2 linked regions of the Lonchura striata genome follow. The protein of the gene in region 1 binds, or shares a complex with, the protein of each later gene. Links are inferred from orthologs where the notes say so. Each region holds a gene or a part of one and is shown on either strand. Other genes may lie near its edges. The genes, in order: MPP1 and GYPC.

Evidence for each region.
Region 2: the proteins of MPP1 (region 1) and GYPC are in contact, whole or in part, in an NMR structure (PDB 2EJY), measured with the Homo sapiens proteins. The link is inferred for Lonchura striata from reciprocal best matches to the Homo sapiens genes MPP1 and GYPC. Residues at the interface, in NP_002427.1 of Homo sapiens: Pro81, Met82, Gly83, Ile84, Leu86, Lys87, Leu88, Leu100, Val130, Gln134; in NP_002092.1 of Homo sapiens: Arg123, Lys124, Glu125, Tyr126, Ile128.

The regions. Positions count from the first base shown.
Region 1 is NC_134616.1:18,810,362-18,825,650, reverse strand, and holds the start of MPP1 (55 kDa erythrocyte membrane protein), read left to right. Parts: upstream 1-9,654; 5' UTR 9,655-9,723; coding exon 9,724-9,825; intron 9,826-15,289. Other genes in the region: F8 (coagulation factor VIII), read left to right, coding at 1-25, 1,129-1,284, 2,097-2,241, 3,070-3,218, 3,485-3,661, 3,878-4,033. UniProt on the Homo sapiens protein: Essential regulator of neutrophil polarity. Regulates neutrophil polarization by regulating AKT1 phosphorylation through a mechanism that is independent of PIK3CG activity.
Region 2 is NC_134610.1:13,963,349-13,978,983, forward strand, and holds the start of GYPC (glycophorin-C), read left to right. Parts: upstream 1-8,913; 5' UTR 8,914-9,099; coding exon 9,100-9,133; intron 9,134-15,635. UniProt on the Homo sapiens protein: This protein is a minor sialoglycoprotein in human erythrocyte membranes. The blood group Gerbich antigens and receptors for Plasmodium falciparum merozoites are most likely located within the extracellular domain.

The sequences.
Region 1 (15,289 bases):
CGACCGCAGCAATGCCTGGATCCAGGTAAGAGGGGCCTCATGTCTGAGGAACCACTGTGGGCATTGCAAGGCCACGCTCATGCAGAAGGACTCACGGATGGGCAGTGCCTCCCCAGCTATAAACAGCTATTCCTGCTGTTTCCTCTTCCCTCTGTGAGGAGAGCACTAAGATCCTAATGGCAGCTGCTCTGCTCACGTTGCTGCTGGCCTGACCCCCATATCCATCCTCAGTGCAGCAGAAGAATTGTGGGAATCCAGGGCTTCCCTCTGGCTGCCCTGGCAGGTCTGGGACCCTGGCAGGGGTCAGGAACCCCCCTGGACAGAGCCCCCAGAGACACTGGCTGTGATCTCTGTCCATGGAAAAGAGTTTTCAATCTTACAGGATCAATTACCAGCTCTGAGGGTTTGATATCAGTAATAATTAAGTGTGGCACGGGTGCAAAAGTAAAATTTTAGGATTCTAGATGAGGGGTCCAAAGGGGACAAGATGGAGGAAATTGGGTGTGCCTTGTCCTTTTTCTCCTTCTTCATGCCCTCCGTGTCTCACTGTGGTGTTGGCATTTTTCTGTTGGTTTAGGCTGGGGACACACTGTCCAACGTAGGTGACAGATATTGGCACGTTCTTGTAAATCCAGCCCAGGGAGTTTCTGGTATTTAATGTTTGTAACATCCCACTGAGGGCAGAGCCCCACACGCTGCCCTGCAGGACAGAGCTGGGCAGGGCAGCAGAACATGTTAGAGATAAACAGAATAAACAACCTGGAAACCAGCACAGACCAATTATGGCTTCTGCTTTGGCAGCGGGGCTGACAGACAGAGACTTTCGACAATCTCGCGATCATCAATAGCTCAGATTCCGACAAAGAATCACTTAATGGTCCAGCTGGATCACGGGATTGTGCAAATATCCCCCAAAGACCAAGGCAGAACAGCTCACCTCTCTGAACAGCTCTCCCCTGCCCACTCCCAGCTGTTGGCTGATTTGTGCCCTTATGAACAACTGTTTTAATTACTTTTGTAACCAGTCCTCAGTTATGTCAGGAGGAAGCAAGTTTTTGGGTTTACAGGGCATTGCCTGAACATGGCTTGGGTTTTCCATCAGAAGTGAATCCCTGATTTCATTCTCAGGTGGATCTTTTGCATCCCACCATTATTCACGGCATAAAAACCCAAGGGGCCCGACAAAAGTTCTCCAGCTTCTACATCTCCCAGTTTGTTGTGTTCTACAGCCTCGATGGGCGAAGGTGGAAGACCTACAAGGGGAATGCTACGAGCACACAGATGGTAAGGTGAAGGATCTTGAACAGAGTGCTTTCTCTGAATGGGGTGTCCTGGGGTGATGAGGGCTGGAGAGCTTTGTCCACAAGGGAGAAACTTCCTCAGCCCCTGAGATTAGGGCAGGAACAGAGACCATTCAGTGCCAGGTGACTGAATCACAGATTCGCTGTCTGTGTCTAGCTGTCTGATTTTAAATTGTCTGAGCTACCTCTTTCCACCATCCCAGGTGGCTGTGAGATCCACATCTTAATGTTATGTTGCATTTTTACTTAGAGCTAGGCATAAGATTCTACCTGAATATCTTTTTTGACCTCAAAGGCAAATTTGCCTTTCTAAAAATATTGTGTAGTCACAGATAATTTGGAGAATCTACAGTCACTTGAAAAAACCCACAACCTAAATATGCATAAGCTGATCAATCCTGGGATTGATCATAAGCTGATCAATCAAAACTGGGAGAAGAGTAGCCAGAAAAGCCTCCATTGTGTGCACCATCTGTGGCCACAACTTTTCCCAGGTTCAAATGTTTGAGGACTAACTTTTCTCCTTATTTTTCTCACACTTGTTTGGTGAGAAAATATAAAACCAAGGTAATTTGCACAGACCCAAAGTTTCTTCTTCTCTTTTTCTTTCTTAGTGGCCCACTCACACTTTGGCCTGAACCTCATCTCAAATAATTTCCCTGAGTTGTCATTTTTATAAGTACGGTGATAAGATACAGAAGTGCCAGGCATAAATATTCTTTTCCCCAATAATCCTTGTCCTGTGTGTTTCTTTTTCCACTGGTGCAACAATCCTTTTCCTCCCTTTCCCTGCAGCTGTTCTTTGGAAACGTGGATGCAAATGGCGTGAAAGAAAACCGGTTCAACCCCCCAGTGGTAGCCCGGTACATCCGCATCCACCCCACCCACTACAACATCCGAGCCACGCTGCGCATGGAGCTCCTGGGCTGCGACCTCAACAGTGCGTGCCACCCTCCCATCCCAGCCCAAAACTGGGCTCTGCTCTGCTGGGCTGCTGGGCGCCGGCTCCACGTGTGCCAGGACTCCCAGGCAGCTATGGAGGAGGAAGGAGGAAGGCACTGAGGTGTTGAGGGAACAAAGCCTGAAAGTCATTGTGGTCTTAGGGATAAAAGTACCAGAGGGAGAGCCTGGGGCCAGCTCTCACATGCTTTTTTACTAAAGCACAGAAAACTTCCAGAGGCAGCTCAGCTGATAGACAGAGAGCTGCTGGGTCTGGGGGAGCAGGAAGCAAGCAGAATGAGATGCTGTTGGCTTTTACACTGGTTTTGCCAGTAGTAGGTGAGATGGCTCTGATCAGCAGTGCCCCAGGGGAAATGGTGCCCTAGGATAATTTCTTTGGCTTTGCACACCTGCTCTGCAGCAGCTAAAAGCAGCACTGGCTGTGCTGTCAGCCCATGTCCCAAACCTGCCAACTGGCTCTGGAGCAGCTGTGCACAAGCACACCTGATCACACATGTGCAGGGTGTCTCCTTCCCAGGTATTCTTGTCCTCCCCCTGGGGACAGGTTCTCCTTATGTTTCCTCACACCAGAAATTCTTCACATTCCTCTTAGATAAAATCTCCAGGGAGAAAAGAAGGTGGGAGTAGTTTGGCCAGAGCCATGCTGCACACAGGGGCCTCAGGCAGTGCAGGGACCATGGCACTGCAGCAAGGCACAGAAGAACTTGTAAGCAGGGCAATGCAGCACAGCTGGAGCAGTGAGCAGGCAGAAAGCATCTCCATGATGGGTCTGTTCTAGCCCCTGACAAGCACTGCTCCTCTCTTCCAGGCTGCTCCATGCCCTTAGGAATGGAAAACAGAGGGATCCCTGATGAGCACATCTCTGCGTCCTCCTACAGTGCCAACGTCTTCTCCAGATGGACACCGGCCCTGGCCCGCCTGAACCTCCAGGGCAGGACCAACGCCTGGAGGCCAAAGGTAACCTGTGTGAGGAGATACCAGGCAGGCAGCTGGGATCCCAGCGGGGTGTCCTAGTCAGGGCTGTATGGGAGGTGTGCACAGCCACATGCACCATGCAAACTGCACACTCACTGCCACACCGATTTAGCGCCCACCAGCTCCAAGCAGATGTCTGGTAGGGCAGGTGAAGCAGAGGGAAGTGCAGGGCCAGCTTGGCTTCAGCTGCAATGAATGTGTCTTTCTCATTGCTGCTGGAGTGTTGAAGGCAGTCTATCCTTCCCCAGAGCAACAGCCCCAGAGAGTGGCTGCAGGTGGACTTTGAAGTAACCAAGAAGGTGACTGCAATTATAACCCAAGGTGCCAAAGCTCTCTTCACTCAGATGTTTGTGAAGGAGTTTGCTGTCTCCATCAGCCAGGATGGCATGCACTGGAGCCCAGTCCTGCAAAATGGCAAGGAGAAGGTAAGCAGAGCTGCTCCATGGCCAGAGCCCATGGCCACCCTCAGGGCAGCAAGCACAGCCCTTGGCAGCAAACATGCTCGCAGGATTTCTCTCCAAGAGCAATGAGCCAGGCTGTGCTTCTTCCTTTTTTAAAGCATGCCAAGGGGTGTTTGTCTGGGTTGATCCTGTCCTCACTATGCCAGCCAAGTGCATCCCTGGTTTCTGTCTCCTCTCCAGATTTTCAAGGCAAACCAGGACCATCAGAGCACAGTGAGGAATACCCTGGAGTCCCCTCTCTTTGCCCGCTATGTGAGGATACACCCCCGCCAGTGGCACAACCACATTGCCCTGCGGCTAGAGTTCCTTGGCTGCGACACTCAGCAGGAGTACTGATGGCTGCAGGGCCAGGAGGAGGCACTGCCAGCCCAAGGACACACATCCACCAGGCACTGAGCTCTCCCCAAGGCTGGAGCCATCCCTCCAGGGGCCTGGCTGCTCCTGCTGCTGGGGAAGAGAAGGGCTGGTCAGCTTCGCAGTGGCTGGGTCATTATCTGCCTTTTCCTGTGTCTACCAGATGCCATATACTCAGATGTAATGATGAAGAATTAAACAGTAATTTTCCAGTACCTCTCTGCACTTTCTCCTCTGCCTTGGTCTCCCCAGAGGCCCAGTCAACATTACCACCAGCTACAAATTAATTAGCCCCAGAGCTTCTCAGCCTCCTTTTGCACAAACTGCTGCTGTCCTGGGCACAGTCCTGGAGGAGGAAGAGCAAAGATAAGGATGAGGGGTGGAGGCCCTGCTCCAGGCCCCAGTGTCTGTTTCACAATCAGTGGGGATGGGAAGCTAGAGGGAGGCAGCTCTTGCTCAACCTGACTCAGCACTGGGATTTGGCCCTGCTCTTCCCTTTGTCTCCTTTCCACAGTGCTGCTGTGGATGGGTGCCATCACCCCACCTTTCTGTTGCTGCCTTGAGCAAGCCCTCCTTGTTCTCCACAGGAGTTCTGTGGATGCCTGTGGCTCCCAGGGACCCTGGAGGATGAGCTGCCACTGTGACATGACCCCCAGCAAAGTGTGCCATGGGCCAGAGCCATCTTCCTGACACCTGTGCTTTCCCCCTCCCTGGCACCTGCCCCACGCAGTGGCAGATGTCTCCCCTTCCAGAAATGATGATGAGCAGGGTGACACTGGCTCCTGCCTCATTCCTCTCGTGGGGTGGGGACCTTCCAGAACAATGTCCACCTCATGAGGGTGGGGAGCACCTGGAGGGCTGTGGGGAAGGCCTGGGGTCATCCTTGTTGGGCAGCACTTCTCCTTCAGCAGCTTGCCAGAGCCTGTGCCATGCCATCCCCACTGCAGTGAGTCCTCCATCTGTGATGGGGCAGCTCGGTGGCCCCACAAAGCCCCTGGCAGCTGGTGTAGCAGGGAAAACAGGGTTATGAGGGGGCTTTGGAGAATGGCAGGAGTCAGCTGGGTGCTGTCACAGTGGGATAGGCAGGATGGCTGCAGCAGTCCGGCAACATCCAGTGATTGCTGGTGAACTTCCAGGGTGCCCCATCAGTCAGACAGTCTCTGCTCACACCTCTCTGAGATGCGGCCTGCAGCAGGTCTGAGAACAGCTCTGCCAGCAGCACAGGGGACAGCTGTGGTGGGGACAGCAGGGTTGTGCCATGAGCAGGGTGCTTGTGTGAGGGATGGCTGCTCTGAGGCACCCAGTTCCTGCCTCCAGCAGCTGTACCGGGCTGTGTGGTGCACAGAGATCTCCCCTCTGTGGCCTGTGTCTGAAGGAAGCAGACATGTGCTGCAGACCACCCCAGTGGTGTGATCTGTCTGGGAACCCATGCCCAGGGGAGATCAGAAACTGGTGTTTCAAATAACAGCTTGAACGTTTGCCACGTTCCACTCTGCTATGCAGGGAGCCTTTGCTGTGGCCCTGGCAGTGATTACATTACAGCCCAAGCAGGAGATGCAATCACCCTTTGGCTCAATTGCATTCCGACAATAACCAGGCACAGAGGTGAGGAGAGGCTGCCTGGCAAGCACTGTCCTGAAGAGATGGATATGAACCATGAGCTTCTCAAAGGGAACACCCCTGCCTGAGGCCTGGGAGGACAAAACCTGCCACCTCAGGGCCTTCTCAAGGCATCCTTCCTCAGCTTCAAGGTAACTCCATCTCTCCTGTGCTTCAGCCCAGCTGAAGCATAAATACCCTTCAGGGTCTCTACCAGTGGATGCTCAGGCTCATTTTCCCTCCAGAAAGAGGCTGCCATGTTGTGGCACATTTGTCTGGTGACACAGGGTTAGCTCAGAGCAAAAGCTCTGTGCACCAGAGCCCATTCTGGCTTATTTTCAAAGAGGAAGCACAGCTGAAATCTTTGCAGGCATCCCAGCAGCCTTCATCCACCAGTCCCAAGCAGTTCCAGGATGTTCTCCAGCCATCCAGGCAGCAGGGAAGGGACTTTCTGAGCAAGAGCAGTAGTGGGCAGGCAGGCAGATGTGCCTGAGCCTGCCAAGTTCTGGCATCCATTATTGGAAGCATGTCTTGACATTTATCTTGTGAGGAATGGAGACCAGACGCTGTTTCCTCATAGCACGATGCAGATCTGAAATGCATCACATCCTCCCCCAGCCACAGACGTTTCTGTGCAGGGGAAGGTCTTGACCAGCATGAAGCTCTCTGCCTTTCAGCCAGGAGATTCCCTGCCTGCAAAGAGCCCTGCTGCAGCACGGGCTGCCTGGTTGAATCCTCCTGGACCCCAGGGATCTTTTGTCTTTCATGGCTCAGCTGCCAGGGTTGCTGGGCTGGGTGATCTGGTGCTCACAGAGTTTCTGGTGTCTCCTGGAAGAAAAAACACATCCTGGCTGTCTCTATTAACCCCAAGCAGAGATTAATTGGCAAACCAAAGTGTGTGTGGTTTCAGTGCTGAGCCCCAGCCAGATAAGCCATGGGCCAGGGAGGTTTCTGAATCTCCCTTCCCTCATGCTGGGTGGAGAGCTCTCAGTGTGCTCCCTCACCGGAGTCAGATGTGGGGAGTGTTTGCAGCTATTGCAGCTGTGCAGGTGGGCACCATTCTCTGAAAATTTGCCAGCACATAACAGAAACAGGCAGTATCAGGCTGAAGAGAGCACCTGAGCAGGGACCATGGCCAATGGGGAGCAAAGCAGAATTTGGGTAATCACAGCTTAAATGCAAGCTCAGCCAAGGAGCTATAGCCAAGCTGCTCACTACCTCCTCAATCTCAGTTTTCCCATATGCAACCAAGAGGGAATGAACAGACTTAGATATTTTTCTGTCTGTCAGGTGTCTCTTGTCACATTTTCCCCTCCTACTACACATTCCATGATTAACTTCAGGGCTTGTCTCTGTTCTCTGTATCTCTTGCCTCCTACTCCACATTTCTACCAGCCTGTTTCTAGCCCATGAGTGCAAGAGAAACCCTGCACTGAGGGGTCCTACGTCCAGCACATCTCAAAGCCATGCCCCACCAACCCCAGTGTGCATCCACCTCCCCCTCCTCCTTGCTGGCCGTTTCAGCTGCTAGGTAAGGAATGCTCTGCAGACCCTTCTTAGTCAGCTGGGCAGGGATTGAAGATGAGGCTCCCAGCAGCATTCTCCAGCCTGGTGGGCACATCTGCTGTGGCTGAAGGCAGCCAGGCACCCTTTGACTTTTCTAGTTCATTATTTTCTCATCCTAATCAGGCTGTCCAGGGAACCCTGCAGACAAAGTCTGGGCCACAGGTTCCACCAGGTGCAGCTACAAAACATGGCCCACTTAGCTGTCTTTCTTCTGGTCCTGGTATTGACTCCCTTAATCTCCTACTAACACTGCAGCCCTGCTATGCGCTTAGTACAGACAACTTGCTTAGCATCAGGAGCTAAATTTGATGAAGCCTTACACCACAAGTTGTGAATTTCCACCCAGATAGGCTGAACTTTTACCAAGTTAAGTAAGAGGGGGCCCCAGAGCTGGTTTGAGCTGGAAGATAAGGAAGCAGGGAAGGCTATTACCATCATTATGTCAGCTGACACAGAAGTCTTAGAGATAAGAGAAGGAACAACCCACCCAGAGACAGTGAGGGGACCCAATAAAGAACAGGAATACCCCAGATCCTAATATTACTAGTGGTCAGAACTGTCATGTGAGGGGTGGGGAACTTATATTGTAAGGATATAGTTGTCCAAGGATTTCTTCAATTGGGGTTCCTCTTTGGAGGTACCTAGCTCAAGCTGTTCTACATGTGAGATAAATAAACAACCCATTTACTCAGTGGATTGGCAACTTATCTTCTTCAAGCAGGCCCATGCCCTGTTGATGGTGGCATAAATCCTGGCAGATGGGATAATTCCTTCAACAAAGCCCAGGGTCCCAGATGGGCAGTGTGAGGCTGAGGATAGGGCAAGAAGGGGAGCTATATCTGGATGATGCAGGACTCCAGGCAGGTGATCCCACAAAAGTGCGCAACAGCTGCCATAGGAATGGGACTGCTGAGAAGAGCACTCCCAGTCCAGGCTGTGCTTTGGGACTCTTTGCTCCTGGTAGTGTTAGAGCAGTTTGCTGGAGCCAGTCACATCAGTGCCTGCAGCTCCCACACCTCCTTTTCTGCGCATCTCACAGCATTCTGGGCTTTCTTGTAGCCCAGTCAGGAACAGATTTTTTTCCCACGAGGCAGGAGAAAGTTGCTGTCAGAACAAGATGGATTTTCCTTCTTTCTCTGTGCCTCCCTCCACCCCATTTCTTCCACACCCCCCCCCCACCCCCATTTTCCTGTTTCCTTTCTCTAGAAGTTTGTATCCTTCTTTCTTCTCCTTGTATTTATTACGGTAACTTTAGACCAATTCACCCTGGAGAACTCATCTAGCAACAATGTGTGAGTCTGGTACAAGGCAACACCTAACCCTCCAGGATCCCAGGGATGGTGTGAAAAATCCTTTCTATGTTTTCTTAAAGAATAATACAGCAGAATTAACTTTCCATCCCCAAATAAAGCTCAGATGTCACTTGGACCCTCTCATCAGTAAGACCTACAGTAAGGGCAGAAATGGTTTGACAGAAGCCCTTTGTACCATGCATGGCTCACAAATTCAGGGATTTGCCATCCCACCCATGCAGGTTGAAGGAGGTGGAAGACCCAGAACAGCTCAAGAAGAGGACAGACCTTGCTAGAGTGTAGAGAAAGGTACTCTGGAGCTCTGCACACTGGCAGAAGCCAGGAATGACCATGCGTTTGTGAGAGCCAGTTACGCACGAAGGCCACTTTGGAGAGGTGCTCCCCATGTCCTTGCTGGGCCCTTGCCCAGAGTGTCCAAATGACAGAAATGAAGATGGTGAAGAGCCTTGAGAGGAAGCCTTGTAAGGAACAGTTGAGGTCACTTGGTCTGTCCAGCCTGGAGAAGAGACTGAGCACAGATCTCATCGCAGTTCCAGCTTGTTCATGGGAAGGGGCAGACCCTGATCCCTTCTCTGCGGTGACTCCCTAGTCACAGGACCCGAGGGAAGGCTGCAGTTGTGTCAGGGGAGGTTTAGTTGCAGATTCGGGTCAGGCTCTTCCCCCAGAGGGTGGCCGGGCACTGAAGAGCTCCCCGGGGCAGTGGTCACAGCAGCAGCCTGCCGGAGCTCACGGGGTGTCGGACAATGCTCTGGGGCACAGGGTGGGACGCTCGGGCTGCCCTGGGCAGGGCCCCGAGCTGGCCCCGGTGACCCTGGCGGTCCGTTTGGGGCAGCTCGGGTGCGCTCTGTGACCCGAGTGCTTGGGCACGGCCAGGGCCAGGCACGGGCGAGGGGCTGGCACAGCGCTGAGGCGATGGGGGCACTCCCGGGGAAAAGCCCCGCGCGGCGGCGGGGACACCCAGCGCGACCCTCCCAGCGCCGGCTGCCCCGGCCCGGCCGCTCCGCCCGCTGCCGCCGGGCGGCCCCGCCGAGCCCCGGGCCCGCCCCGGCCCGCCCCGCCGCCCGGCCCCGCCCGGCCCCGCCCGGCCCCGGCGCACTCGGGCGGAGCGAGCGGGGAGCCCGCGGCGCCGCCGCAGCCGGGCCGGGCCGCTCAGCGCTGCCGCGGCCAGCGGGGCCGGCCGCAGCTGCCGCCGGGATGACCCTCAAGTCGGGGCGCAGCTCCGGCGGCGGCAGCATGAGGACGGCGCTCTCCGACCTCTACCTGGAGCACCTCCTGCAGAACCGGCCCAAGCCCGAGGTGAGCGGCCCGGTGCGCCCCCACACCCCGCACTGCGCCCCGCTCCCGGCCCCGCAGGGAGCCCCGGCTGCCACGCTGTCCTGCGGGCCCTCAGCCCGGCACTGCGGCCGGCTCAGGCCCGGCGCGGGTGCCCGGCGGTGCCGCTCCATCCCGCCCGCCCGCACACGCAGGGGGGAGCAGGGCCCCCCAGGCAGAGACCCCGCGCTGCGCATCCAGGTGCGTGCCCGGGCCCCAGCAGCCCGGGAGCGGGGATGCTCGTGGGGACGCGGGTGCCTCCGGGGAATGCTCAGCCAGCGTAGCCGGCAGGGCACAAGGAGCTGGGTGCAGGGAGCAAGGCTCCAGCATCCTGCCGCGGAGAGATTGTGCTTGTTTTGCTGCAAAGTTGTAGCTGGTCTGAACTGGAACTGCCGGTCACATGAGCTGATTCAGCTGCTGAGCAACCTCCAGGTCCACGGCACGGGCTGGAGGAGGGTGGGGGTCTCTTCCCCGGGAAGGAGAATGCCAGCAGCCCTTCTCACGCCTGCTCCGGGACAGGGAGTCAGCCGGTGGCCGCATGCGCCCCACCTCCAGCAGAAGGAGAGCAGGCTGCACCAGCCCTCCGTTCTGCTGGGTGGGCGCCTTCCTCACTTAGTGTTGTTTGGAGTGGCTTGGGTGCAACCAGGAGAAGGTCGGCAGTTGCCAGTGTTAAACAGCTGGTGCTTTTCTCCCGTCAGAGATTTCCAGCTTTGAAAAGGCATCCTTGGTGACGCCATGGTAAAATGTGGCTGGGCTAAGTTTTCCTTGCAACTGTGGGGAGCCTCTGAGAGAGAGAAGGGAGGAAATTTCCCTGAAGCGCTGTCCTTAGCCCATCGTGTTGGACATTTAAATATGTAAAAGAGGCTTGTCAGATCTGTCTCACACCACTGGCTCACCTGTTTTTCATGGTTTAACCCTGACAGGGTGCTTTGAGAAAAACAGTAGGAAAAAAATAATTTAAGCAAAGTGTCTGAATCAGGCAACTGCTGAAAGGAGCTCTCCCATCCCTCTGCCTCCCAGATCCAGGCAGAGGGCCTGCCTGGCTGCAAACAGAGCAAGGATCAATTGCCAGTAGCAGCAGAGCATGGAAAGTGTAGGAGCTGCCCTACAGCTTCCTAGTGCTATGGTGACTTTATTTCAGTAGGGATAAAGAGAGAGATGGTGAAGTGAGATCTGCATGAGGCCTTTTAAAAGGAGCTCTGTAAGGCTGCCTTCCAGCAGTGTCCTGAGCTTGCCAGTCACAGATGCCTGTCTCTGTGTCACGGGCATGCAGAGATGGTGCTGGCCCACAGTGGCTGTGGCCCCTCCATGGGCCGCCAGGACATCGCCCAGCAGCAATGTCCCTTCTTGGGAAGGGTGCTGGGTCTGCCTGACTGCTCCTGGTCTGGAGTCAAACAGGGTGACTGGGAGGTTTCTCTTCTGCATTTTCTCTGGCAGAGCCATGTACTGGGAAATGCTGTCCTGTGTTCCTCAAGTGGTGACGGGGCATGCAAATCATGGCAAGTGGAAGCCATGTTATTGCTGGAAAACAACCCCAGGCCTCTCCTCTTGAACCTCACCATGTGCATGCATATCTTTGCCATATCTCCTGGCTGACAAGTACAGATTTACCAAAAAGGTGTGGGCTTTACTTCCAGCTGTGCACATGGTTGGCAGGATGACCTTGGGCTTGTCCCTTTATCATCTGTGACTCAGTTCCCCAGCTGTAAAATGGGCAGCGAATGTGACCTTTGGGAGTTTGGTGGAGGAGAGGAGGATAATTCTGGGGAGAGCTGATCCTGAGGGTGCAGAGGGAGCACTGCACTTGCTTCTGGCGGTATTTCTCGGCATCCAACTGGCAGCAGCTCCAAAGCAGACTGAGGCCACAGTCCCCAGGGATCAAAACCTGAATCAACCCCAGGTAAAACTCAGTTGAAAGCTGAGCTAAAGCTTCTGGCTTTGACTAATGAAGTGGGGAGGGCTGGTTCCAACGTTTTAATCTCAAATGTATTTTGCTGTGTAGCTGTTTCACTGCTACAGGGAAAAAGCTGTTTTGAATGGCTTGTTCTGGAGGCTGGGATGGAGTGGCAGGGCAGCTCCTCCTTCTGTCAGTGTTGTGGTTTCACTGGCTGTGCCTTGGAGGTTACCAGCTTCACAAGCACATCTGGAAGGCTGCATCAGCCTTTTCTGGTGGGAAGGTGGTGCCTCAGCAAAAGTGAATGTGCTCCCTTGAAAATCTGGCCCATCTCCTTTGCAGCACTCTCTGATCTGGAGTCAGTGTGAGAGCATACATTGCCGGCAGCACCTTCTGGCTGCCACCATTTTGTATCCTTCCTATTTCTCTTTTCCCCTTCCCACAGAGACCTGTTGGTGTTACTGGGCCTTTTCCTGGTGTCAGCAATGTAATCCTCTTTGGTTTAAATGTTTGTTGGTTTGATTCTTGTTTTTATACTTCAATCAAATTGCTAGAAGTCATTTTAGGTGGGATTGTTCCTATGGCTTGAGAAGTCAGTAGGCCCTGGCAGAATGAATTACTTCTAAATATCTATGTGGCTCTAGCGCCCCAGCCTGCTGGGCAGCCTTAAAGCAGCTCCCAAGCTCAGTTTTTTGCTACTTTGCTTTTTTTACACATTGCTGTATTTTTAAAGCTGTATGAGACTGAAATGGATCCTGGATGGGGAGGGAGGCAAGGCTGGAAACACTGGAGGGTGGGAGGAGATGTTTATTGCTGGGTCAGAACACCTCTGCACCAAGCAGTGCCCCAACCTCCCTGCCCGCATCCATGGCAAAATGGCAATTATAATGTGAGGGGGTCATGATTCATGGAGGGAGCTGGGATTTTGTTCCTCACAGTGTGGGAAGAGCATGTCTTCCTGCCAGCCAAGAGGGCAATCCCAGAGCAACCTGGCTCCAGGGTTCCTTCTTGCATCCAAGCTGCTGTACTTTGGGGGATGGCTTGGCAAAACCAGCAGTTCTTTTCTCCACACACTCGCCAGGCAACTGTTTTTCCAAAGTTACCTGATACTGAAGTGTCTTGCTTAGAGCAGCAAGGAGAGCCCAGGAACCAAATCTCTGAATGTGCCCTTTGCACTGTAGTGCTGCTTTCCTCAAGTGCTGCTTCAGCCTCCTGCAAACAAGCTGCCCAGTTAATGTTTGATTTGCCCATGCCTTGCAGCCTGGTGGAGCAGCAGCAGCAGCAACTGTGGCAGACAGTGCTGACCCCGCCAGGGGACAGGATGCCAAGTCCTGGAATCCTCGCCACATTCCCTGTTGGTAAACACTGCCCAAGGAACTGGGTATACTTCCCTCTGCCCCAGGATACAGGGCAGAAATCTGGGCCCTTGAGGAAAATGCAGACAAGGGGTTGTGGGGCACCTCTGACCCATGGAGCTGGTGGCTCTTGTGTGCATTGCCAGTAGAGCAGGATTTCTGCAGGAGGATTTGCACCCCTGTCAGCCAGCTGCAAGGCACACAGGGCTGCTGGGTTCTGGGCTGTCCAGCACCCCTGCTGCATAGCTCAGCCCACCAACCTCCTTGCCCCATGTGTGCCCCAGCACAGCCCTGGCGGTGACCGAGCCCGGGGCTGTGCACAGCTGGCGGTGGCTGGTGGCCACAGGCTGGCTCTCAGCAGCACTCACAGATGTTTCCTGTGGAGCAGTGCACGAGGAGCAGTCTGGCCAGTCACCGGCGTGACTCAAAGGCTCTTGAGGTCACAGACTAGGCTGGGCCAAGCCACCGTGAGCGTGGCAGCTGCCAGGGGAGTGCAAGGCAATCCAGCCAGCCAGCTCGTGGGCATGGGGCATGAGAGCCACGCACGTCTCCTGTTCCTGGGTGCCAACATCAGGGCTGAATCTGCCACCCCGAGGGTCCTGGCTGTCCTCATGAACCAGGCATTTTCCCATCCCCATCCACTGGATGGCCGGTGCCATCAGCAAAAAAGCCCACACCATCCCAGTATGGCTCTGGTTTTGGAGAACCCTTCTGCATTCAGAGCTGCCATCAAGTGACCGGTGGCCATCTGCAGGCACAGCAGCCAGTCTCTGGTGACAGACCTTGTTCTCCAGAGTCACTAGAGTGACACTGGTGCTGTGTCAGCATTGACAGCTGGGTGTTTTCTCCAGCTCTCAGCAAAAAGCAAAGGTCAGGGCCAGGAGGCTCAGCTGATGGGGATGGTGAGGATGGGAACTCCCAGTCCCTGGAGCAGACTGTGCTGTGTCCTGGGTCATCAGGCTCTGCTGAGCCTAGAGGTTTGAAGCCAGGAACTGCATGGTCTAACACTTTCCCAAGGCATGACCAAGATAAGTATGATCTGTGCTGGCTCCAGCCACCACACTTTGGCCTCAGGTCGGGCTGGAGAAGGTCCTTGTCCTCCTATTCCTTCTTGCACCTGCTGGTTTGGCAGATGGCACAGCTGACAGAGAGCTGTGGGACAGCTCTAGGCACGCACACTGCTGGATCTGTTCCTCTGCACTGCAAATGGTGTGGTAGCATCGTGGGCTGGCAAGCCAGGCTTGGGGGGATGGATACAAGTTGTTCTTCCTTCCACCCTGCAAGTCTGTGGCCTGGGTGCTTTTCTGGTGCTATTCAGCCTTCTTCTCCGTGTTTAAGCTGTCGGCAGCTGGAACCCACGTGGTCTCCTTTTGAGGAGGAGTTTGGTTGGCACTTCTGGACGTAGTTGGCTTAAAAATAAATCACCGCATCTTGGGCACACAGCTCCCTGAGCCCTTCTCTCCCTGGTCCAGCCCCACAGTGCCCTTTCTGTGGGCTGTGACAGTGACCCTGCCTGCTCTGTCCCTCTCTGCCAGCACCTTTCCTGCTATCCTTGTTAGTCCTGACTCTGCTGCCCCTTTCTTTGGCTCCCTCCCTGCTTTCTGCCATTGCACAGAGCTGGATGACTGTCTCAGCCAGCAGCATTCCAGAACATCCCTACCAAAGCTCATGTAATTGTGGTTAGTGCCATGGCTACAGCCCAGTAGCAGGTGCTCTTCACAAGCCTTCCCCTGGCCTGACCAGATCTGCCTCCCCACCTGGCAGTGTGGGGCTGCAGCTTCTCTGCTCCAGGTCAGGAGTCTAGGGTGAGTGAGAGCAAGCTGGGGCAGGGGCATCAGGCTGATACTTCCCAGCTCCTGGCATGGAGCCTCTGGCCCTGGTGCTCAGTTGACAGGGCAGCCTGTGGTGGGGAGAGGTGTTGGCTCTGCCTGTCTGGGCATGGCCACGTCACGGATGCGGGACTGAAGCTGGTGAGGACCTTGCTGGGTATCCCTGCTTGGCTGTGGCTCTCTGCTCAGGCACTGCTGGGAGGGAAGGGTGCAGGCTGCAAACTGGGCAGCAAAGCCACGAGTCTGGTGTGGAGTGGGACAGCCAGGAGGGTTTGTTTTGCATCGTGGGGTGACGTGGGAATTTGTGTCAGCAGGACAGGCACAGACTGCAGGTTGAAGCTGGTTCTGGGTTTTGCTGGGCCAGCACTGAT
Region 2 (15,635 bases), on another chromosome or scaffold:
TCCATTTCATTTTCTCTCCTCTGACCAGCTGAGGAGGGGAGGGCCGGATCAGGTTTGCTGAGCACCTGGAGTCCATCCAGGGCTAACCCACCACAGCAGGGCACTTCAGAGGACATTTGAGAATTAGCTTTTGAAGATAAAAATTGCAGATTATTGTGGCAGGTGAAAATTCAAATGGTGGAATATTGATAGAGAGTGTTAATTAACACAGAGTGTTTATTCGTGCTACATAGTGCATGTAATCAGTTACACTCACTAAATGAGGATTTGATTGCCCACTGTTCCAAAGCATACCAGCACTTTCATATCATAAAGACAGGGATTCTGTCCATTTGCATTTGCTGAGTACAAGCAGAATGGCCTCTGGGAGGAGCACAAAACAGTTCCAGAATAGAAATAGCAAATTTAAATATTCGTAAAAATGCTGCAACATCCTTTATGTCTGGATCTCAGCAAAGAACGGTGTTGGCTTTTTCTTAGGGAGAAGAAAAAATTTTTGGATGTGATGTAGTCCATTGCACCTAACTTTAGACACAGAATGAATAATCTTCTGGAAACCTCTATCTCCTCCTTTGACTCCAGAGGGTATGCAGTAGACTAGGATAGATTATGTGACTAATATTTCAAACACAGAATGTACATAAAATGACACAAACCCTTATCTTTAGAAAGTTTCTTCAATAGACTGCTTCATCGTAGAGTCTAATTAGGAAATTTATTTTGAGTGATGCTGTAGAGGAAGAGTCCATATATGAATATTTATAGGAAGCCTTTGGTAATCACAAAAATCTTTCAGCTTGCTTTTAACTTGTATCAAAACCTAATCATGTGCTTAAAGTTTAGAGGAAACCTCATGTTTTCTTAAATCCTGGAAGCCATAAGGGCATTCTTCAATCCTTCTCCAATAAAAGTTTGACATCCCAGAGAGGAACCAGCAGTGTAGCACTGTGCTACACAGAATTACTCCAGCTCTTATTTCAGTGTTTGAAAAAACTGACAAGATCCAGGCATCCTGAAGATTTCTGAACTAAGTATTTTCTCAAGGCTTCCTGATATAAACCAATTCAATTCCTGAACTCTCCCTGTAACATTTTTTTCAGCCTGACTTCACAAGAGAGAATTCATATTTATCTACCTCATAGAGAAAAGATATGTTTAGATTATTCAGATATTTTCCCTGTAGTTATGTTTATTGTTCTGAAATATAACTTCCTGGGCAGCTCTTTGATTTAATAAGGAAGAAAACTATTTCCAAATAAAGCACTGCATATTTCATAGTGAAGTATATATATTTATCTCAGTTGAGTTTGCTTGTAGCTCATTTCAAGAAAGGAATAATTTCTATACATTGTCTTTCAGCATCTCATCTTTCCCTTGCAGTTTAATGCTTACCATGCCTAACAGGAGCACAAGGACAATAAAAAGTCGATCTGCATGAGTGTTGCTGAATTGACAGCTGAAATCTTCAACCACATTTGTACATGTCATGTAAATAAGGCTTGAGGAAGTGAAAGGCATTGTACCCAGAAGGAAACCATTTTACCCATTTGGACTCTGCATTAAACAAAAACAAAACTCATTGTGCAATTTTGCCAGCAAAAGCATTCGTTGTGTGTCCCAGTGCCCGAGTGGCTGAGCTGCTGCAGTTGGGCTTGTTGCCATCCCAGCATGTGCAGTTTGAGATTTTTTTAGTGTTGTTCTGTTTCTTGCAGCTGTATATTCTCCTGCTGAAGAACTTCAAAAATCTTGAACTAGTGCCAATCAGATACAGCTGAATTGCCTTTACTGTAGTAAGAAAAATTATCAGCATGCAATTTATTATTAGAACAGACCATTCTAAATTTTTACTTCCATCACAGCAGACAGCTATATCCATTTTTGTATAAGAACTCACTCAGCACAAATAAAAGGAACAGTAGATTATCTGGCTTTAAAACCATATCCTATTTTCAGCTGGGCTCACTGGAAAGTGGGCCTCAAGCATAGCCATGCCCAGGGCATTTAGTTGCACTTGGAGAGCTCTTTCTCTCCCACACCCTGTACAGAACCAATAAAACAAACTTCTTATCAGTGACTTAGGAACCTCACTTCAGTGAGATTAATATTTTATTATTTGAGAGAACTACAACCACCCATTTAGCAGGGGGAAGCAGAAAATAAAAAGTTATATCTACTGTAGCTGTAAGTTTACCCCGGGGTTCTGTGGATCCTATACCAATGGTGTTTTAGGTGTTGTTTAAAGTAAGATTTAAAAGACAACAAAACAAACAAAAATCAGCCACCACCAAAACAAAAAACCCAAACAAAAAACCTCCAAAACCAACCAAACAAACAAAAAAACACTAAAAACAAATGAACAATAAAAAGGCAAACCAACACTACCAACATAAAAGTATTGATGCTCTGCATGCAGGATATGATAACCACTTGCCACTTTGGGAATTATCTCCAAGAGCCTAAGGATTTGCAAGTGTTACAGTCAGGAAAGAGAGGAGAACACACCCTGAGGGACCTTGGGAGGACTAAGGTCTGTTCTAATCTCTTGTAAACCCTTTCTTTCCCCCCACAGTGCCAAGTTATTTATGGGATTCTAATGAATTCCATTAGTATTGCTAACTGTATCTTCTAGTTATTTAACTAATCACTTAACAAGGGAAGCAACCTAAGTCAGTAAACATAAACATCCTCATGATAGTAATTAAAGTAATAGAATTAAAGAAAAATTATTGAAGTTTAAGGTTCTTTTAAAATAAAACCAACTCAAGTCACATTATTTATGAGAAAAATGAAGTGCAACCCTCCCTTCAGCTAATAATTGTGCAGAGTTATTTTTAAAGCAGTGATAGGAGCAGTGCTAAGCAACAGGGTCTTGGGGTCATCACACACATCCTTATGGAGCCTTAGTTTCATTCAGTGTAACTGTGACTTTACCACATGCCAGCATTGTGCTCAGACAGGAGGTTGAAACACTAAACTTCACTGAAGTATCTCTGAAGAGAAGCACAAGATTTTTGCTCTTGCACTTAGAGAAGAAAGTAATCTTAAAGTGATGCCTTTTTCTCTGGAGAGAATAGTACATACAGGCTAAAAGAGCAAATGCCTCAGTTATTATATTTTAGAAAATATCATCAGCCAATCCGGCTGAGTCTGTTTGGCTAAAAGTTGCTGCAAGGGGGGAAGCAGACTCAGGAATGGATTTTAAGCACACACTTATCTAACACCTTTGTTGGATGTAACCCAGTTACTGCTTTGGCCAAAGCATTTGCACTGTGATTAGAAAGATTTCTGCTTTGGATGTATCACCTCTGTGCTTCATACATCCAAGCTAGAAAAGGGGAGAGGAGAGTCTGAAGCCCTTGCTAAAGTACAGGAGATCCAATCTCCCAGAGAGCTCAGAAACAAGCCCATTATTACATTACATAAGGACAGGCCAGATGCTGTACTAGCAACCTTTGAGAGGATTTTCACCTGCATGTAAATAGACATGAAAACAAAATTTAACGCTTAGGTAATAAGACACAACAGGGTCCACAATCATCAGAATTCTTGACGTTCAATTTTCTGGCCACTTCAGAGTTATCACAGAGTATACTGAGTTGGAAGGATCATCTAGACCAATCCCTGACCTGCCCAGCACCATTCCCAAGAGTCACACCAAGTGCCCGAGAGCATTGTCCAACCACTTCCTGAACTCTGTCAGGCTTGGTGCTGTGGCCACTTCCTAGGGAGCCTCTTCCAGTGCGCAGCTATGCTCTGGGTCAAAAACCTTTCTCTAATATCCAACCTAAACCTCCCCTGACATAACTTCAAGCCATTCCCTTGGTTTCTGTCACTGGTAACCACAGAGGGATCAGTACCTTCCCCTCCTCTTCCCCTCACCAGGAAGTTGTAACTGCGGTGAGGTCTCCCTGCATTCTCCTCTTCTCCAGGCTGAACAGACCAAGTGACCTCGGCCACTCCTCGCTCAGCTTCCCCTCAAAGCTCTTCACCATCTTGGCTGCCCTCCTTTGGACACTCTCTAATATGCAACAACTAAACAACCCAACTTATTAAAATTATGGTGCAGTAATACAGTCCCATCTATGTAAAGAAGAGTAAAAGTTTTCAGTCAAACTGAAGATCAAACTCGTCAAACTAGATCCTCCAGGAATTAAGATTTGCAGTGTTTAATTCTACTTTGTGTGAGCAAATCTTCCCTTTTGTTTTAAATTGCAGAATGATTCACTTTATTTATCATTCTATTCTTTTGTTATGAGAAATCCATGTGCTAAAGCCTGCTCTGATTTCTTAACTCAGCAAGAGCTGATAGTATGATTCACCCTCTCCACATCTACCCAGATGACATTACCAAATACGTTCCAAATATTCACTATCAAACTGCATGTCAACATCCTGTTGACTGGTCTAGAGTGTGAGCAGATGTGCTTTCCAGTGGTGTTGGAAATTATATTGGAGAGGAGGCAGTGGCTTTAAGACATCCTGTCTGATCTTTGGACATGATGATACTATAGAGTTACAGAGACTCTGCACCACTGAACTCTTGACCTTACACATCTTCCTTCTATGGTATCATTAAATGAACCACAGTTCATGGAAAGCCAAGCACCAGAATCAAGGAAGATGTAGAGCCTCCTTATACTTCAATTTCACAGAGAGTAGGCATGTTTTGAGAAGCATTTGCATTGTAGTGACACTAAAGTTTCCCCTGAGTACAGACACAAATGGAAAAGAGTTTGACCCAAGCAAACTAACAGATTAAGTGGGAACCTTAAACACAAACAGGCATACTACATCCTTTATCTGCAAATAATTGTGCAATAAGATAAAGCAGGGGATATACATGTTCCAGGGATAAGAATATATTCCAAAGGTTCAAGCAGAAGTCAGGGGAGTGGTAAAAATAAAGACAAATGCCTGGGATGCAAAGTAGGAAGGAGAGCTGATCTCTTATCTCCAGGGTAAAATCTTCTTTTCTGGCCTTGTATGAGGGTCAAGAACTAGTTCAGTGTTATGAATGCAGACAGAAAATTCCCTCTCTGTGTTCCAAGGATTTCACAATCTTGTTGCACTTAAAGTCACAGGCTGCAGAGGCACCACATAAAACATGAGTTATACCATCATCACAGTCCATCCTGGATAATAAGTCTCCATTGATCCCTTTTGCATCACAAAGGTTTAATTCTCCATGACTTTACACCAGAGCTGAGATGATCCACACAGTCTATGGCAAAATTCCTTGCTCTTTCAGCACAAAAATAAATGGGAAAGAGAAAGAAAACAAGGTGGGGGGAGAACCCAACACACAAGGTAACAAATAAATGAACTATTTTTCCTTACAGAGATGGAGATAAAGATAATCCATCGAAAATAGTATTTCATGGGATGTCCAGAGCCAAATGCTTTCCTATGAAGAACCCTCCTTCAGGATTCAGCCTAGCAGTTAAATCTCTGCTTGTGCTTGACCTGCACAAAGTCTTCAAAATTTGGGATTCCGCCCAACCTCACCCTGCTCAGCAGCTTGGCAGGGTGTTTAAGGCAGCCTGAAGTGTGTAGCCAGCAAAGGAGAGGAGGAAGCCAAGACCATGTCTCCTGCCAGCTGGCCAGGTGACCATGGCATGTAGCCCAGTGGCACACTGAGCCCCTGGCTCATCTGAATGTGCCCACAGTGCTGCCACAATGCCCATCTTGAACTCACAGCCAGGCACAACTGCTGCTACATCCTCTCCTCAAATGTGTAGAGGATGGATCCAAACACCTTCTCTTGAAGCTTGCAGGCTGGGCAGGGTGGGCAGTGAAGGACATGATTGATATCTTTCCACTCAGCCCCTTTCAATCTTGCCATTGCCTTTACAGGATGAGATTCCAGATTATGCATTATGTTTTGCCATGAAAATCCATCAGAGAGAGGGATTTCTAGTGTGATGTCCTGTTGTTGCGAAGCATAACTTCCTGGAGAGAGCCTCCTTCCTTTGTTTTATTTATTTATTTTCCTCTGAGTGCAGCCTAAACCCTCCCTTCCTGTTGGGAACAACAGCTGCAGCATGCGGCATCAGCTTGCCAAGCCTGAATGACTGTGAAATATCATTTATCTTGGAGAAAGATAGCATCAAAGAGAACAACTATGTGGGCCTGACCATGCATTCACTACATAGCTGGGCTTAGGAGGAGTAGGATAAATTGCAGTATCGGAGGCAAAAGAGGTCCCACTCCTGAGCTAACACCCTTGGACCTGAAAGCACTGTCACATCTGAAAGCACTACTGAAGAAAAAAAAAAAGGGAATTTTCATTTCCTTATTCAGAAAAAGATTATTTCAAAGGCTGGATATGCAAAAGTATTCACTGGGGCAGGAAAGCTATACGTCTGTAGGTTAATGGGAACAGCATGGCCTTGAGATCAAGTAATTGGCTGATGGAAGCCACAGGGCTGACACAGATTTCCTAACATACCTGTGTTTTCCCACAGACCTAGTGAATCCAATCCTTAGATAAAAAATTATTGTCAGATACCCTTCTGTTATCTCCTCCCTTTAACCCTTTTGGGGAGCTTTTGTGGTTTTTTTGCCAGAAGCAACTGCTATTTAAGATTAGGAGAGAGTTCACTCAAATAGGAAATTAATGATTAATCACACATTTTCCCCACCAGCACTCTACTCCCATCTTTTGCTCTGGGTTCCTTTGCTGCCTCCTGTCCCACATGATAAGTTGGCTGAGAGCACTGAGATGCTTTTTGTTCAGTGCCCAGTCTCAGACTCCCCTGGAAGCATGCTGGGCTGCATGCTGCTTCCCTTGACAACATCACATATTTCCCATTAGTGATGGGTGGAAAGGTCAGGCAGGTCTCTTTAATGGCCTGTTTGAGAGCAAATAGCCTTGGGAAATGGCTCTCTGATTTCTGGGAACCCCAGTCTATTCAATAAGCAAAGAAAGAAGTCCCCAAAAAAGTGACGAGAACAACACATTAAAGGGAACTTTCTCATGTGAGTTTGGACCTGCCAGAATCCTCCTACATAACTTGGGTATAAGTCTTCCAGTGATTTTGGTGGTGGGGAGGGCAGCTTTAATAAGAACACAGAGAGAGACAGGAAGTGTTGCACAGATGCAGAGGGGTTAAGCACCAGGACCTAACTGTGCATGCCATTTTGAGTAGTGTGCCACAAAATTTCTAAGACAGTCCAGGCCACTGGCTGTAACATAATAAAGCCATCACAACTACAATCCTTCACATCACCTGCAAGCAGCTAGGGAACCTTTTCTCAATAGAACTTCTGAAATTTCTTAGACATCACAGAATCATAGAATCATACAATGGTTTGGGTTAGATCATCTAGTTACAACCCTCCTGGCATCTTACACTAAATCAGGTTGCTCCAAGGCCACCCAACTTGTCCTTGATCATGATGATGAAAGATTTAAATGTAAAAACTTCACATGACAACAGTTCTAGAAACCCCTTATTTTACCTCTGCACATTGTGTTTCTTACACAGAAGAAGCAGTAATTAAAAACATGCCCATCAGTATTTTCATAGAGAAGCTATCAAGTGTAAATGAATGTCACGCTGTGGAGCTGAAGCCAGTGCAGCAACGTCAGGAGTTTTTGCTATTATTCCTCTGTCTTTGTTTTATGCCTTGCTTGGCTCTATCACTAAATGTTCCAGAGCTCTCTACCACAAGCCCAGAGTGTGGAAATGCTGACTGAAGTAATTTACTGCATCTATGTTCACAAACAAGCTGTTAGTTGCTGTTGGCATGTAAATAAGTCACTGTTCTTTCCATCCTATAGCTGTTAAATAAATACTGTGAGCCAAGTTCAGGGCACTGATTTCTTGTAGGTGGTCACTGAGATGATTTCACAGAAATATCCTGTGACAATTTTGCAAAACAGGATGGCCTCAGCCTGAATTTCATTACTCTGTTTTTTTCCACTTCCATCCGATGGTGACTATGTTTCTGCTGTCACAGGCAGGCTGTTAATTCATCCTGACTCCATAACAGACACCAGGAAAATGGAAATTTTGTCCACTCTCCTTAGTGTTTAAGGCATGTGCATTAAAAATAATCTGTATTCTGGCATAACCTAGAAGTCCTAGTCCATGTCAGCTACAGACAGGCTGTGTATGCACACTTACAGTGACTACAAGCCACTGACTGCAGCACAGCATGCAGACAGCCAGATAGCTTTAAATGGTAGCTATATAAACAAGGCAGCTGGCACCCTAGTCCAGGCTGAAAAACTTTCAGTGGAGTAGGCAAATTAACCTCTGCAGCCCAATAAAATACATCTTATTTACAAATAACACCTGCCTGTACATTAAAACAAAAATACCAAGACTAGGGAGAAAGCAGGTGTCTCATCTTTATTCTACCAATGGCAAACTGGAGCAGAGATTAAATATTTTCCAAAGGTGCCATAGGAAGCCTGTGTCAGTAACTGGAGTTACTTGTGCCTCAGCCTGTGCTGTAGCCACAGGTTTCTCCTTGCTCTGAGCACAGTGTAGATTCATGGCATATGCTGATGTAACTACTTTGACCCAATAAATGCCATCCTCAGTTTTCACTTGTTAAAAGGACAGAAACAGTCAGACTGTGTGGGTTAAGGGGGACGATGAGCAATGCAAATTGAAAGTCCTACTTTCAATCTTACTCACTAATAGTAGACATTTTAGGAAAGGGAGTCAGCAGCAAGTTTTACACTTAAAAGTAATAACATCAACAGCAGTGGATAAGGGTTTGGGAAGTGGATTTAATAGGTGTGTCTAGATTTGGCTAAGAATGAAGAGAGCATTTTCTTTCCACTGGTTGCTGGCTAATAAAAGCAAAGGGGTGGAATACATCCAACTTGCAAAACTCGAATACAGTTACTGCTATCTGCAAATGGGTGCCCCTCCCCGCTCATGTGAGCTGCACAGGCAAAAGAGAATGACACATGTGCTGTTTCCTTTTCCAGTTGTGGAGGGGTCAGGAGCCAGGCAAGGAGAGCCCGAACAAGAGGAGCATTTTCCTGGGTTCCTCCAGCTGTTCTGTTCAATCCCGCCGTCAGTTTTGAGCAGGGAAGAGAGGCTGTCACCACAAATAAGGCATTTTTCAAAGGCGTAAATTATGAGTTCCCAAAACAATGCGACATCTCAACCACGTGAGTACCCTTACCCCCCTCCCCCCTTACAATAAGAGTGGATTTATCAGTCCGCTGCTTAAGGAGCAGATTGTCTAATGCAGTTAGTATGGAAAAAAAAAAAAAAGAAAAAAAAAGCCTGAGATTAATTCTGAAGGAAAAAAGTTGTGAAGAAGCTGTTTTCTTCCTTAATTCTTTGTGTGTGTGCGTGCGCGTGTGCGAGGGGAGAACTGAAACGGGCTCTGCAAACTCTGGCTCCTGAACAGCACCAAGCAAAGCTAGTAACGTTTCCGCCTAAACCCCAGCTTAGAAAAGTTTCATTTGAATGTTTTTCCCTCCCCCCACTTCAGGAATGAAGTTATAGAGCATTTTGAAAGCGTACTGACGCTTTTCTAAGACAGTAATGGTGCTGCCCAGCTTGCGTTTAGAGTCTCAAGCTGTCTGTGTGTAACGTGAGACTCAAGCCACAAACTGACGGTCTATATTTAAAGCCACAATGTGTTTCTGCTCCTGAAAATTTAGAAACATGGGCTTAAAGACAAACAAATTGGTTCTTCAGCAAGAGAGGGTACAGGAAGGCAAGTCCTCTGTTTCCATAACTGCATATTTCAGTAAATTTTAAAAGAGAGAATTTGGCCCGAACAGTCAAGCGAGCACAGAGGCTCAGCTGCACTATGGTAATGTTCATTTTGGGACAGTATTAAAAAGAAAAGTGAAGGAAAGAGTGTGGGTTATGATTTGCTAAGCTGTGAAAAACTCTTGAGTTTTTGGTGCTGCAATATATATATTTTTTTTTTTTCTTATGGCTTTAGTGTGATCTTTCTTGTTTTAATTCAAGAAAGTACATTTGTTGTATTTTTAATAAATTAACTGCCAATAGCAGAATTGTTTGTCAGACCATGGTGTCAAAAATGAAGGTAGAAAGTACAGACAGCCCTGCTGGGAGCAGCCCGCAATTCAGGATTTGATCCAGATACTGCTATAAGGATATTTGTTCTGTATGGCTGTAGACACTGACAAAGTTTTCCAAACTTTGAATGAGGCACGCTGATCCAGAGAGAAGACACAGCAAGCAGAATCTGTGGCATCCCAACCAGCAATTTCTAGTTACCCTTTAGTCCATTTTGCAGATTCTAACCAACAAAAAAGATTAGATGTTACCTTTATATTATATTCTACTCCATTCTGCAGTTTAGAATATTGTATTTTGTTTTCTGTTATAGCCAGGAAAGATACAGGCAGGCTAATTCAGCATTCTGAGATCTTGGGTTTGGCACAGATTGTGTAAATTACTGCTATTGCTGCTTTCCAAGCATGTCCAGGAGGGTGGTCATGATTCACTGAGGTTCTTCTTGTGTATTGTGAAATATCAACAAGGGTCCAGACTCAGTCTTGTGCATTTAGTGACAAGCTTGGCCAAGTGACACATCCAGGACCAGCTCTACAGTTCTGAATACATTACAAACAACCTCTCTGGCAGACCCAGGTTGTCAAACCACACCGAAGGCCCTAGGGGGAAACAGGAAGAGGAGTTCATGTCCCATGGGGCCTTTTGTCTCCTCATAATGAAAAAAGACAGATGCATCAGCTTCTGCTGGGTTTTTTTCCAGTATGTGGACAGGAATTCTCAACTTGAACTATTTTAAGATCATAAGATTCTCTCCATGAAAACAAATTGCTTTCAATCCAGCTAGGAGTATTCTGGCTGAAAAATAGTAATGATGTATTGTCTTTGGTTGGGGATTTTGGTTTTGTTTTGTTGTTTTGGGTTTTTTTGTTTTGTTTTTTTAATTAGATGGATAAAATTTATAGATTAGGAACAAAAGTTAAAGGGAAGTCTAATGATACCATATTTCTGTATAATGTAAGTTTGGTGCATTGATAATGGTTGAGGTTTTAAGGGAAGGTCTTTGGGAAAAGGGCCTTATTTCCTATGAAAATTCCTGCTATTTTTGTAAGAAACAAGACAAGAAACAATTGAAAGTTCAGTGTATTGACAGGCACTATGCAGCATGGACAGCAGATGTTTGCCAGAGTGGTAGAATAATTGGGAAAACAAATTTGCTTCATAGCCACACAGAACATCTTTGAGATGGGTGTGAAAATGCTCAAAATAATCATCAAAAACCTTTTGATATGTATACCGAACATATGAATTCTTTGCTGAATACCTGCAGGTGAGACCACAGAGCAGCTGCCAACTGATGTAAACTGAACAGTGTTAAGTAACCTAATTGCACATGTACTTTGCTTATCTCCTTGTATTCACCGATGGCTGATAAGGAATTTTTATTCATTCTATAAATGCGGTATGATCCTGTCAATCCAAGGACGGGGGAGCACACACTGTTTCAGATTTTAAATATTCAACTCTGTGAAGTCTGTAAATGTATTCTACCTCTATATGGGGATGCTCCACCATCTCACCTTGGATATTTCCCATGTCCAGCTCAGATATCCCCCAGATATCTGAATGGGATCTCTGTACACGTAACAGGTGAGTGGGACACTAACTCTGTGATGCATTTGCTTCCTGCTCAGATGAACGAGCGTGACTTAACCATGAAACCTGAGGAACTCCACAGGTTTGGCAGTCTCAATTCAGCTGGCAGCTTTTGCCCTCTTCCTGTTAGACTGCAGTGACCCTGTCTTGAGGCAGTGGGACAGCTCAAACGAGGTGAAGGATTAGGACAATAAACGTCACCAAGTCAAAGGTTCAACCTGGGAAGGCAGTGATCTGTGCAAAGCCATCTTTTTGGGTCAAAGGTGTTCACCCCTTTGGAGAAGGTGCTCGGCAATTTACAGGATTTCATCTGTACCAGCAGGCTGGGAATGTTTGTGTGGAGTCTCTTATATTTCAAATGACATCTGTCAGAGGAGGTAGTGGTTAAGGAGAACAGTTTGTGGAGGCTTTTCTTCCTTATCACCCATCAACAGATAAGATCCTCTTCCTGGGGAGATAGCAAAGCAGTATGATGTGTGCAGTGCAGAAGAATTGGCCCAAAAGGAAACCCAGAAGCAAGGCTGGTCCTCAGGCCATGCCCCAGCTGCAGAGGAAGGATAGAGGGTGAGGAAGAGGGTGAAGCAAACCCTTCCTGAACTGTATGCACTCCCTCTGCATTGCCAGCTGCCCTCCAGCAGTAACCCAGGCACTGCCCTGCTCAGGAGAGCAGAGTCTGGTGCTCTGTTTTACAAGCAAGAGGTCTTGGCTCCATCAGCCCCAGCTTCTCCACCTGCCCCAGTGACAGAGCTTCTGTCAAAATGAGTCACATATGTGTGGGCTGTCCTCTCAGAGAGGCTGAGACCTTGCAAATGTGATAAAGGCAGAGTGACTTCTGGCTGTGAATGGGGAGTGTGGTTCTGAGAACAGCCTTTCCACATCTTCAGCTCATAATGAGATATATTTTGGGGCTGCAAACTGATTCTTTTGTATGTTCTGGAGCAATACCACTTGTCTTTCACACAGGGTTTGTGAAAAGCCTTGAATGAACCCTTTAGGTTTTTAATTGTGTTATTCACACCTTGGCAATATATGTGATTTCATTGCCCTTAATCAACAGAAGTGCTTGCCTGTGACAGTAAATGATAAACAAAAACAGAAGCTATTGATTATGAAAATTTGGTCTTCATGAGTGAGCATTTATACACAAGGAAACCTACAGATTATAAGAACCTCTCATTTTTAGCACAGAAATCTCAAAACCTATCCTACAAGTATTTATGTAAATTGAATGTTTCTGCTTGCATGTTTGTTTCCTACCACTGTGCATACGAATTGGGAAGTTTGGCTTTATATCCCAGGGCTCTCCTCACACCCTTACTGTCTGACACATTTATGTGAAAGTCTAGGAATTGAAAGACTCAGAATGCACCTGAAATTGCAGTAATTAACAGCAGATATGTTGGCAAACCACTGAGCTGGGGAGAATAGGGAGGATGTCGACTCAAATAGGATCTTCTGTTTTAAAATACACAATTTTCAGCATTGCTGAGCATCATTTAAAAAATACACATTAGATGTTAAAGATTCAGGTTGTGGCTAGTTGTGTGCTTAAGCCTGTTAATATTATAGCATTATGCAGTGTCTGCATCTCATTGCTGATACTGCTGCACCTTTATTTCTAGGCTCTTGTGTAATATACCCTGTATCCATCACTGTTCAAATGACTGAGTCCAATCAGCAAAGTCTTTTGTCAAACAGGCTTTCAGGACTGCATTGTCTAATGAAAATCTGTTTGTGTGTGTGCTCTGTGCAGTGCCTGTCTCTATTGTTGGGGAGGGATCAGTATTCCTATAGCATAGAGAAATTCAAGCCAAGAGAGGGATCTGATTTTGCTAGGTGCTGTACAGTCACCTCTTCTTCAAAAGGCTGGTAAAGAGGAGAGATTACAGGTGGGAGAGAAATCACTGCTCTCCATGGACACTGCTAGTGAGGCAGCTTTTATCTGGGAAAAGCTGGGGTGGTAGGAGTTTGTTTGATTCCAGTAGATTCACTGGTGCAACAGCTCTTTGCTTCCCACTGCCTAATTTTATAATGCATGCTCAGGGAAAAACACATAGCTCAGAAGTTATTTAGGAATTGGCCTGCTTGTTTCCCATAGAAAGATCAGAAAACCTTTGAAAACAGCATTTGACATGAGTAGGAGCTTTGTTTACAATTTTTTGCTTCACATACAATTTGTGATAGAAAATGCATGAAAAGCCTAGATGCCACAGTGACAAGAATATAGGAACACCTTAGGAGGGCAAGTGTTCGGGCAGCAGACAATTGTGTTTTACTTCCTTAATTTTCTAAGTCAGATGAATTTGACAGCATTACCGCAGTAATGATCAGATGAAAAATTCACCAGCTGCTAAGCATTCTGAAAAACTGCTTAGAGAATGGAGAAAAGTATCACTTGGAGAAATCAGGGTTTGTTTGCCAATAATTTATGAACATGAATGGAGGAAAGGCCTCCCCTCCCTGGATAATTTATTTGTAACTGATAACTGCATCAAGTACCAACACTGCTATGCTATAACAGACATGCAGCTCATAATTTGACACTGAAATAAGATCTGGACTCCTCTCTTTCTCGAAGAGTCAGCACAATCTAATTCACACCAGATTCCTGTCTCTGCTATGTTAGCTTGGAAATCAAATGCACTGCCTGTGGTAAACTGATCCTTTATTGCAGATGTACCTTGCACGTGTAGTTTCACCAATGAGACAGCTGGCCAAGTGATTTTCCTCTTAATTAATCATCTCATATGCAAAGGACGCCAGTTTCTCATATCTTCTTCTCTTCTGACATATGTTTCACCACAGGGTTCTTCCTGATGAAGCAGAATACTTCACTAAAAATCTCAATGGGTTAAACTTGTTCTGCTGCATTGGAGTTTTAAAGTGATTTTTCTTTCCTTTCCTCTGCCTCTCTTTTTCATCTTAAGAGGGAAGAAAGAATTCAGTTATTTCGTGAGGGTCTCTACCTCTTTTTTCTGCAGATAAGCTCTGAAACAGAGTTAAGCTTTTTATCAGTAAGTTGCAGGGGGGCATTTGAACACACCCTGAGACAGTTCTTTGTTATTTTGAGTGATAAATGCCTATTTTACTGGGGACTACATGTTTAAAATATCTAGTTTTATGAGGCAGTCCACACCATAGAGGACATGTGTGACAAGTTCACAGCCATACAGAAACAGACATCAAATCCTTACATATGTGTAGGTGTTTACAGTTGTGAGCAGATCCTCTTTCAGTAACACCAAACCTAGAAAACGAGTTTGAATTCTGTCTGTTCACACATATATACACACAGAGTGTAAGTACATACAACATACCTTATATCCGTATGCATACATACACAAAGACATGAGGATTTATACCCACCATCCTTTCCACTACTTTACAGGTTTATATTCCTTTTCTAGCTCATCTGTGCTGGGAGAATTTGGTAGTTGCATCTTCAGGACAATTTTCTAGAAAAACTGATCATATTAGTGTATTCATGCCAAAATTAAAGTTATTCTTCAAAAAAACTACCCTCCTTTGAAAACAAAATACTTATTCAAAAATCAATTCAATCCTGTTACATAATTCTGTGACCCTCTCAAACAGCTGAGAAGATTAATTTATGCTGGAAGAGATTTTACAGCACTGCTATTCCAGTTTAACCTTTTTTTGGTAGGCAAACATCTCTGGTGTTCATCTTGTTTTCTTTGAAAAGCATTCTTACTAAGACAAAAGTAAAATGCTTCTTGTCTGCTAATTGGATGTTCCAAAAATTTCAGTCACTTAAGAAGGGATGAAAAAGCAGGTCTTCATGGATGACTTAAGATAAACGAAATAATCCTCAGGTAAGACAAATAGACAACTTAAATACAAGTGATTAAAGAGTTACCTGTATGAATGAGTAGAGAGAAAACATATTTCTAGTGGATGGTGAAGAGTTACCATAAAAATGTAGTCATCCAAGAGTTCAGGAAACTTGTGTACATTTTCAAAACCTGATGTTTAAAATGACATGCTGTTTTTTTATATTTC